Saccharomyces cerevisiae S288C: one gene and its partner. The gene in region 2 interacts genetically with the main gene of each other region. Each region holds a gene or a part of one and is shown on either strand. Other genes may lie near its edges.

Region 1 (4,298 bases), on a different chromosome or scaffold from region 2:
ACCCGCTCTTTCGCTTAGGTTCCATGCCTACTTTTGTTTTATCCCCCTATAACTATGGTATATTATACTGCCTCACCAAACGTTTAGGTCTTGCTTCTGCTTCCCACAGTAGCTTACGCATTATAGCCGATTTATTTTTCACTTATTTTCGCATGCCAGAGTATCTTTATTTTCTTTCTTTCATTCAGCCTGTCGTCGAAAAGAAAAAAAAGAAAATAAATATGTGCGTATTCTAACCATGAAACAGGAACTCATTCAATGTGCACAGTACTTATCTCATTCAATTTTGTAAAAACAAAATATATACATTGTATGTATGTGTGTATTTGCAGTTATATATCTACTAATAACCAGTACGCCATACATGTCTTGATTAGCAAAATATTATTTATGTTTTTCTCATTAGTACTATTTCCGCGAAGAGGGTAGAAAGTGTAGGGTACAGGGAAAAAAGTTCCCTATCTCCTTCTTTCTCTCCTTCCTATTGGATTGAAGTTTATTTATTCAATTGACAAGACTTCTTTGACAGCTTTAACGATGGTTGGAGTATCAGGGAAAGCGAAATCTTCTAATTCTTTAGCGTAAGGTGTTGGAACATCGGCACCAGTAACTCTTTGGATTGGAGCATCCAAGTAATCAAAGGCTTCAGACTCCATAACTTGGGCGACAATTTCAGCACCAACACCAAATGATGGGAAAGTGGATTCAACAGTAATCAAGTGGTTTGTCTTCTTGACAGTTTTGATGATAGCTTCAGTATCTAAAGGTCTAATAGAACGCAAGTTGATAACTTCTGCAGAGACACCATATTTCTTTTGTAGAATTTCAGCGGCTTCCAAAGAAAACTGAACGTTTCTTGTGTACGTAACAATGGAAATATCGGTACCTTCTCTTTCGATCTTAGCCTTGTATGGCAAGGTGAACTCAGGGGATAAAGCTTCTTCTGAGATTTCAAAAGATTCACCGTACAACAATTCGTTCTCTAAAAATACAACAGGGTTTGGATCTCTGATGGCGGCCTTTAACAAACCCCTAGCATCTTCAGCAGAATAAGGGACAAGGACCTTTAACCCTGGAATGGAACCGTACCAAGGAGAAAAGTCCTGTGAATGTTGAGCACCAACACCCACTGCAGCACCATTAGGACCTCTGAAGACCATTTGACATTTTTGAGTACCACCAGACATGTAGTGAGTCTTTGCAGCGGAATTGACAACATGATCGATAGCTTGCATAGAGAAATTGAACGACATAAACTCTACAATTGGCTTCAAACCCTTCAAAGCGGCACCAACGGCCAAACCTGTGAACCCGTATTCGGTAATAGGTGTGTCAACCACACGACGTTCACCGAACCTGTCCAATAAACCCTTTGACACCTTATAAGCCCCGTTATATTGTGCAACTTCTTCACCAATAAGGAAGACATCATCATCACGGTCCAATTCTTCCGCCATGGCACTATTCAAGGCCTCTCTGACGGTCATCGTCTTTGTTGATGAGAATCTCAATGCTGCTGCTGCTGCAGAGGGTCTTACAAAAGAAGTTGGGGCACGACGTGCAACATTTCTGGCCAATGATGTTGGCAGTCTGGAAAACATGTTGAACAAAATTATTGCAAAAGTAAAAGAACTTACTAAACTGCGATCGATTATCAATGAACAAACACAGGAACTGTTATGAGGGAGGCGGAATTTAACGTCCGAGTGTGTAAATGATACTAAATTAGTCTAACAAAAGGAAGAAACTTGACAGAGATAATATCAAGAGTCGCTGTTGCAATCGTTAACCTGTATATGTAGATACACCTCTTTTTATTGCAAACGTGCAAACGCATGACTTTTAATGACGGAGAACTTCTTAGTTGAAGACTCGTCTCTTTTGCATGTTCTCCCACTTCGAAGTCTCGGAAAACAGACCCCGGAAACAGCCGCGACGAAAAAGAATCAGCTTAGGCATGATAAATACTGTGGTTTCATTAGATAGATAAAATACATAAGTATTGGCGTATATAAACGGGTGCCAGATAGAAGCTTTCAGAGAGCATAAAATTGTACAGGATACTGCCTACAACTTACTCTTATTTCTGCTGCTCTTAGCAAAAGTTTCTGCGATAACTCTTCTCTGGATTTTACCTGTAGCGGTTTTTGGTAGCTTATCAACAAAGTACACCTTGGTTGGAATTTTGAAAGAGGCTAGGTGCTTCTTTAAGAAGTTCACCAGTTCTTCGTAGGTCATTTTTTCTCCCTTCTTCAAAACAATGGCGGCTTGAACTACTTGGCCGTACATATCGTCGGGAACACCAAATGCAACGGCTTCATCGATCTTTGGATGCGATAGCATAATGCCGTCGAGCTCAATGGGTGAAATCTTTTCACCACCCCTGTTGATAAGCTCTTTGATTCTGCCTGTAAGGACCAAAAACCCCTCAGGGTCGAAATAACCTTGGTCACCGGTTCTGAAATAGTTCTCTCTCTTGGTGAAGTTCTCCTTGTTAGCTTTTGGATTATTAGCATACCCCAAAGTGACGTTTTCGCCTCTGATGGAAACTTCGCCGACTTTGCCCGGGGGCAAGACATTGTCATTGTCATCTAGAATGACGACGGTGACTCCTTGTGGCTGGCCCACAGTACCAGGCTTTCTCTTTCCTGGAGGCAGATTGTTTGAGGTCATTTGATGTGATGCTTCGGTCATCGCATAGGCCTCCAAGACAGGTGCATTGAATTCCTTCTCCAGCTTATGGAACGTTGCTGGAGCCAAAGCAGAAGAACACGATCTGATGAATCTAATGTGTGGGAAAGGGTTTGGTTTGGGCATGTTCAGCATAATCATGCTTATTGTGGGAACGCAACTGAACCAATTACAGTTGTACTTAACAAATTGGTCCCAGAATAACTTTGGATGGAATCCATCGGGAACCACAACAGAACCCTGAGTTCTAAAAGTGGAAAGTAAAACACCAATTAACCCATGGACGTGGAAAAGAGGCATCACGACATAAGATCTGTCCAAGGGCGTTAGCTTGTAAGTGTTAGCAATGTTCAACGTGCTTCTCACAATGTTCAAATGTAACAAAGGCACCGTTTTTGGAGTGGAGGTGGTACCACTGGTATGCAAAATCAGGGCAACGTCACTGGAACGGGCAAACCCAGGGAATTTAACGGGATTTGTGTTGACAAATTTGGCGTTGTTCAAAGACCGGTAAATAACCCTTTTGTAGTTGTCCTCTGGAGAGTATATATCATACTCTACCCTAAACCTGGTCGCATCGAAGGCCAGCTCTACGATAAAACATCCAAACGTGGAGGCAGATTTTAGAATTTCAGAACTCTGTAACTTTGTGGTACCCTTTGGGACGCAAATCGCCTTAGATTTCAGGTCATTCAAATAAAAATTGAACTCCTTTTCCTTATAATTGGGATTCAAGGGCGCGCCAATTTTAGCGTCCATAGTAGCACCGAGGAAAGCGACGATAAATTCCAGCCCATTACGCATGGATATCGCCACTGTATCTTGTCTGAAAACAGCTCCGTACAATGGAGAATTAGGATTTGTGAACATGGTCTGGAAGTGACCCACCATGTGGGATAGATCCCTGTAGGTCACCTGAGTGTCCGTTTCAGGAACAATAACGGCGACATTATCGGATACGCTAAAAGTATCGTTGAACGAAGCAGTAACAGTAGCGGCACTTGTCATTGTAGCAAAAATGTGCGTGAAGCGTCTAACCTCTTGCAGCACAGTGGGAGTAAATTTCAAGAAGGAGCATCTATTAAAAAGAGCTTTTAATCATACCATCTCTATTTATATACAGTTAATCTTGAAAAATAAAAAAAGACCGAATAAAGGACTCGGAAGCTTTAGCTCGGAATAGTTAAAGACGCTTTCGGCCCGAGAAAAAAATATTCTGAGCACCAAAATCCAATCGCCTGAAGTTTATCAAGTAAATTTGCCATTCCTGGCCCCATATAGTGATGCCTAAGTGGACAGCAACATCGCGCTCTTACTTGTTAGTCGTTCTCATGACGAGCAAGGCAAAAGCACTCGTCCTCAGCTAAGTCGTATGGTATGACTGGCAGCGTGAATGGCACGGCCACATGGGTGGGATTACCCGCGCAGCCTCTACGGTCACGTGTAAAAGTACGGCACGTGACCTTCCTGGTATTTGCTAACCTGCGACTATGGTAAAGCACTCCTGCTTCATAATTGCGTGGTTTTCTTGAAACGGTGCCCCATGCTGTTTGGCTGAGGTTTGCCGAAGTATAAAGGCACCATTCTAGTTCTTTAAATACCTGCGA
Region 2 (6,528 bases):
ATGGAGAAACATTGTACGGTGTAATGCACGCTCCTAGGGGTGATGGAACAGAAGCGATGGTGCTTGCCGTTCCATGGTTTAATTCAGATGATGAATTCAATATTGGCGGCGCAGCTTTGGGTGTATCTTTAGCAAGATTTTTCTCACGTTGGCCAGTATGGTCCAAGAATATAATTGTTGTCTTCAGCGAAAATCCTCGTGCAGCATTAAGATCATGGGTTGAGGCATACCATACTTCCTTAGATTTGACTGGTGGTTCCATTGAAGCTGCTGTTGTGTTGGATTATTCGAGTACGGAAGATTTCTTCGAGTATGTAGAAATCTCATACGACGGTCTGAATGGTGAGCTGCCCAATTTGGATCTTGTCAACATCGCTATATCCATTACGGAACATGAAGGTATGAAAGTTTCTTTGCACGGTCTACCCAGTGATCAGTTAACTAATAATAATTTCTGGTCAAGATTAAAAATATTATGCCTGGGAATAAGGGATTGGGCGTTGTCCGGTGTTAAAAAGCCCCATGGTAACGAGGCATTTAGCGGCTGGAGGATTCAATCTGTAACATTGAAAGCACATGGAAACAGTGGTCATGATATTACTACATTTGGACGTATACCCGAAGCAATGTTTCGCTCTATTAATAACCTTTTGGAAAAATTTCACCAATCGTTCTTCTTTTATTTGTTATTAGCACCACGTCAGTTCGTATCCATTAGTAGTTATTTGCCAAGCGCTGTGGCTTTATCTATAGCATTCGCCATAAGTTCATTAAATGCATTTATAAACAATGCTTATGCAAATATATCCTTATTTTCCGAGTATAATTTGGTAGCGTTGTTGGTTTGGTTCGTGTCATTGGTGATATCATTTGTTGTTTCACAAGCGTTTCTTCTAATACCTTCATCGGGATTATTGATGACAATTAGCATGGCATCTTGTTTTTTACCTTTGATACTTTCCAGAAAAATTCACATCTCAGAACCACTATCATACAGGTTGAAAAATGTTGCTTTTTTATATTTCAGTTTGGTTTCAACATCTTTGCTAATGATAAACTTTGCAATGGCTTTACTGATCGGCACATTGGCATTTCCTATGACATTTGTGAAGACCATTGTTGAAAGTTCTAGCGAACATGAGGTGACAACTCAATCCTCTAACCCAATAAAAACTGAGCCGAAAGATGAGATAGAGCTCGTCGAGAATCACATGGATACAACGCCAGCAACCCCCCAACAACAGAAACAAAAACTAAAAAATTTAGTACTATTAATTTTGACAAATCCATTTATTTCAATAACCTTATTCGGACTATTTTTTGATGATGAATTTCATGGATTTGATATAATAAACAAACTGGTTTCAGCATGGTTGGATTTGAAATGTTGGAGTTGGTTTGTACTTTGTATAGGTTGGCTTCCATGTTGGCTATTGATATTAGCGTCATCGTTTGAATCTAAATCTGTCGTAGTAAGGTCGAAAGAAAAGCAAAGTTAGGTGCCATTGGTAAGAAGTAAAGGATTAACGGGTGTTCGAACTACGCAATTGATTTTATACGCACAAACATTACAAATCGAAGCAAAAGAAGATGAAATGATATGATATACTGATACAAATATGTATTAAATAAAACATAAGTATTGATGGAAACATGGCATAGAGAAGCGAAGATGCGATAATATCAAATAACTATATGTGAGTTGTGGAAGAAAGAAACGATCACATTATTATAATAAACTAGCTATTTAAATGTTTATTGAAGACTGTTCTGCCCCCTTTTATTCAGTCACGGTATTGGTCAAAAAATTCTTTATGGAAACTTTCCCATTTCTTAATCCATTCCAGACCAGGTGCCAAAAATGTTGTTCTTAAATGGTAAGTACCAGGTTCTTGACCAAACCCAGAACCGGGAACAGTGCAAATGCCAGTAGATTCTAACAACTTCTTACAATAAAATTCATCCGGAGTTAACTCTAAGTGGCGAGCTTCTTGAACTGCCTTGAAAGGTAAGTCTATCTTAGGGAATAAATACATGGCACCTTGAGGCTTTTGACATTCAATGCCTTCTAAAGAGTTAAATGTCTCATACAGTGTCATTGCTCTTGTAATTAACTTTTCATGGATGGAGTTACGTTCTGCTTGGTCCGACTCGAATGATTCCTCCCCTTCCACTGGTGGACGAACCATCAAATCAACCAAAGCTTGACCTGTGACAACGGGACACAATGAAATCGAGGCTAGTTTCAAGATAACTTGTCTCATCTCATGGCTGAATCCAGTGAGTTCCATGTAGCCACCCCTTTGACCACATTCACCAGAAACACCCTTAGAAGTCGAATGCAAAGAAGCTAGCTGAACATTATCGAATTTACCTGGATGTTCCCTCTGTAAATGTCTCAAAATTTTCTTCATAGAATGGAACTTGGTGCCCGGGAAGATATTTTCTTGATAAACTTCGTCAGCTATCACTACTGTACCGTACTTGGCTGCGACTTCAAAAATCTGAGCTATAGACTCAGGTGATAGGACAGCTCCTGTAGGATTACCTGGATTGATAACCACTAGAACTGTAGGTTTGATTTCGTTCTGTATAGCCTCTTTGACGACAGTTTCAATTTCTTCTGGATTAGTTGACCAACCTGAATTCTCATCTAAATAGTATGGTAAAGCTTGAGAATTGTTCAAAGCTAGAGTAGCGGTATATAATGGATATTGAGGAATTGGAATCAAGACACCCGTTTCTGGCCCTCTACAGAAAATTGATAACAAGTAATTGACAGCTGCGGATGCACCAGCAGTTAGGAAAATATCCTCTGGGTATGATATCTCGCCTTCGTCCCTCTTCGTTATAAATTCAGCGACACTTTTCCTTATACCTTCTACACCTTGAGAAGAAGAGTAAGCACCAACAGAACCACCGATATCTTCCATTAAACTCTTTGCACGTTTAATGGCATCTAGTTTAAACAATTTCGAATCAACTAGCTGCTGTTCGTTTTGGTTTAATAGTTCTGGGTATTGTAAGAGAGACAAGACCTGTCTGTAGTAAGTCAGAGGTTTCTGTTGTAGTTGCTGAGGATTACCAATATTGGCGTTGATAATCCTGTCAAATGGCAGAGATTGAGGATCCTTCTCCAGTTGAGCTTTCAATTCTTCAGCTCTCATTGGGATGGCACCTCTAACGGCGTACTTAGCCTTCAAGACATTTTCATTTACGTCTTCCAAAGTCAATTGTTCGGCGGGATAAAACTCGTTATTCGAAGTTTTCAACGTGTGGTGTGGAAAGCGATTCAAATGACGCAGGTCGTTTAGCGAAGATTGACCAGATAATGAACGTCTATGATTTTGAGCAACAATCCAGGAAGAGCTATGTCTCTGTAGGACGGGTCTAACTTTCCTGAAAGCTTTTAACTTTGTACTACTGGCTGAGGTAGAAAAAGGAGTAGTGATATGTGGCATTTTTTCTGCGCTTGAAGTGAGAGTCCTTATATGATATGACTTAATAACGTGAGTTATAGAATTACTCACTGTGAAGTGATTTTTGGCAGACAGTGATAACATCGTGGAGAGAGCAAAATAAAGACTGGGGAAATATATTTATATGCGTTCAATTGAGAAGCAGAAACAATTAAATGCGGGGGAGAAACAAAGAAGCTGGTCCTGTTCTCGAGCAACGTGTGACTAGTATGAACAACTAGAGTAAAATAGCGAGAAAGCAGTAGTAGTAACGGAAGAGCTTTTCCTAGTATGGTCCGCGGGTCACGATCGTTTACAAAGGGCGCAGCAAACTCTAAATACGTCAACCACAGCAGGTCAGAAGAGTACGTGAAGTTGTCTCAACGAAAGGTCGAAAATCGTTAGGCTTGGACCCCTTCAGAATGAAAAAAAAAAAAGACGCAAGAGTGAAAAAAAAACCAGTACTGTAAAAGCAGAAAACGTCTAATGGGAAGTGCTACTATGTAAGATTATATCATGAATGTGCTGTGTATTATATATGGATTATATAGCCACGAATATGCGGTAAATAAACATATGCATATATGTGTGTGGGGCAGCGCTCTGCTGTGCAATCCTTGTTTCTTTGTTTCTTGGGTCGGGATTTGAGTAGCGACGAGCCATCCTCTGCAGAAGGGAAGAAGAAAGAAAGGCAGAGAGGCAAAGAAAGAGTCAGGCTTATCTTATCTTAAGAGATATGCCGCTTGGACCCAAAAGAAAGGGAAAAGTAAGTACGCAGGTGTAGTTTTGAATGAGTGGCAGTGATAGAGGAGACCGGTTATACGATGTGTTGGGGGTGACGAGAGATGCGACCGTGCAAGAGATTAAAACTGCTTACAGAAAGCTTGCCCTGAAACATCATCCGGACAAGTATGTGGATCAAGACTCAAAGGAGGTAAATGAAATCAAATTCAAAGAGATCACTGCCGCTTACGAGATCTTGAGCGATCCGGAGAAGAAATCACATTACGACTTGTATGGTGATGATAATGGTGCCGCTAGCAGCGGTGGCGCTAATGGCTTTGGAGATGAAGATTTTATGAACTTCTTTAACAATTTCTTCAATAATGGAAGTCACGATGGAAATAATTTCCCTGGCGAGTATGATGCGTACGAAGAGGGCAACTCTACAAGCTCTAAGGATATCGATATCGATATATCTCTTACTTTGAAGGATTTGTACATGGGCAAGAAGCTGAAGTTTGATTTAAAGAGACAGGTCATCTGTATAAAGTGCCACGGTTCTGGCTGGAAACCAAAGAGGAAAATTCACGTTACACACGATGTGGAATGTGAATCATGCGCTGGAAAGGGTTCAAAGGAACGTCTGAAGAGGTTTGGTCCCGGTTTGGTAGCTTCGCAATGGGTGGTCTGTGAGAAATGTAATGGTAAGGGGAAGTACACTAAAAGACCCAAGAATCCAAAGAACTTTTGCCCCGATTGCGCAGGCTTGGGGCTCCTGTCAAAGAAGGAAATCATCACAGTGAACGTGGCTCCGGGACACCACTTTAACGACGTAATTACAGTCAAGGGGATGGCGGACGAGGAAATCGATAAGACCACATGTGGTGATTTAAAGTTCCATCTCACTGAAAAACAAGAAAACTTGGAGCAGAAGCAAATCTTTTTGAAGAACTTTGACGACGGCGCCGGGGAAGATTTGTATACAAGCATTACCATATCGTTAAGCGAGGCCTTGACGGGATTTGAGAAATTTTTGACAAAAACCTTCGACGACAGGTTACTAACATTGAGCGTTAAACCTGGCAGAGTAGTAAGACCTGGTGACACCATCAAAATCGCCAATGAAGGTTGGCCCATTTTAGATAACCCTCATGGCCGGTGCGGCGATCTGTATGTTTTCGTTCATATTGAATTTCCACCAGATAACTGGTTCAATGAAAAATCAGAACTACTAGCAATAAAAACGAATCTGCCGTCATCTTCATCTTGTGCCTCACATGCGACTGTAAATACTGAAGATGACAGCAACCTGACTAACAACGAAACTATATCAAATTTCCGGATCATTCACACGGACGATCTTCCAGAAGGGATAAGGCCGTTCAAGCCAGAAGCACAGGATTCAGCGCATCAGAAAGCAAGAAGTTCGTACTGCTGTATCCAATGATGGCATCAATAACTTTTTATTCTATTTTTTTTTTTTTTTCATAAGTTATCCTACCTGTATATATGTATATATATGAAATTCATTTACTGAATGCGGTGAAGAATGAAGTCTTTCGCACCTTCAGTAGAAAAATAGGAAGAATCCCCATCGCGGCGGACATAAAGCAAGCATACAAAGGCCTTCTATCAGAACAGCGATTGCGAACTTGGAGCAACAATGGCGTCCCAGGTTAACGCCTTATTACTGCCGGTCATAGAGTCTACGCCGCTTCATCAAATAACCAAGGTAGCATTGACGACCACACTCACAAGTAAACAAAGCGATTACAAGTTCAAAGAAATAGCCGTGCCGTTAACAAAATCACTACAACTGTACGAGAAGGCGCAAAGAAGACAAGATTTAAGGGCAAGCTTAAAAGCACTGGAGAGTATCATTTACCAAACGCACTTCCAATGGAATAACCCGCTCCCACGACATGCGCATCTCTTCCAAAAACACTACCACTTTCTACTGACTCACTGGCCATTTGAGAACCACAGAGACTTGGTAGATTCCATCGCTGTAAACAATGGGAAACTAAATTCAACGTCTTCAAGGAGCGTCTGGCTGAAGGCGGATTGGATAACACTGTTTAACGTTAAAAACCCTTGGGTCCAAACGCCGCCATCGTTAATGCGTCTGAGTGGGACAGATCTTGATACCTTCACACCAGAGAGGATATTCCTGATAAATTCTCTTGGAAACCACTACAAATTTTTAATAGCGAACAGTCATCTAAGCTACAATCACAAAAAATACCCCTCCCCTGGCGTGCAAATTCCTGTCAGGAACGCTCTTGGCGAAGTTTCTCCGGCCAAACAAATTGCCCAACTTTTCGCAAGACAGCTGTCTCATATTTAC

What was found. Genes that interact genetically often act in the same process or in processes that back each other up.
Region 1: mutations in ALT1 (region 2) and PDB1 together harm fitness less than expected from each alone (positive genetic interaction), as found in Saccharomyces cerevisiae (2 studies listed by BioGRID).

Annotation. Positions count from the first base shown.
Region 1 is NC_001134.8:664,653-668,950, forward strand, and holds PDB1 (pyruvate dehydrogenase (acetyl-transferring) subunit E1 beta), read right to left. Parts: upstream 1,602-4,298; coding exon 501-1,601; downstream 1-500. Other genes in the region: YBR220C (uncharacterized protein), read right to left, coding at 1-25; YBR221W-A (uncharacterized protein), read left to right, coding at 1,886-1,990; PCS60 (Pcs60p), read right to left, coding at 2,068-3,699; TDP1 (tyrosyl-DNA phosphodiesterase 1), read right to left, coding at 4,011-4,298. UniProt on the Saccharomyces cerevisiae protein: The pyruvate dehydrogenase complex catalyzes the overall conversion of pyruvate to acetyl-CoA and CO(2).
Region 2 is NC_001144.5:316,453-322,980, forward strand, and holds ALT1 (alanine transaminase ALT1), read right to left. Parts: upstream 3,564-6,528; coding exon 1,785-3,563; downstream 1-1,784. Other genes in the region: GPI-anchor transamidase subunit GAA1, read left to right, coding at 1-1,499; XDJ1 (Xdj1p), read left to right, coding at 4,249-5,628; GEP5 (Gep5p), read left to right, coding at 5,845-6,528. UniProt on the Saccharomyces cerevisiae protein: Alanine aminotransferase involved in both alanine biosynthesis and utilization. Under respiratory conditions, constitutes the sole pathway for alanine biosynthesis and catabolism.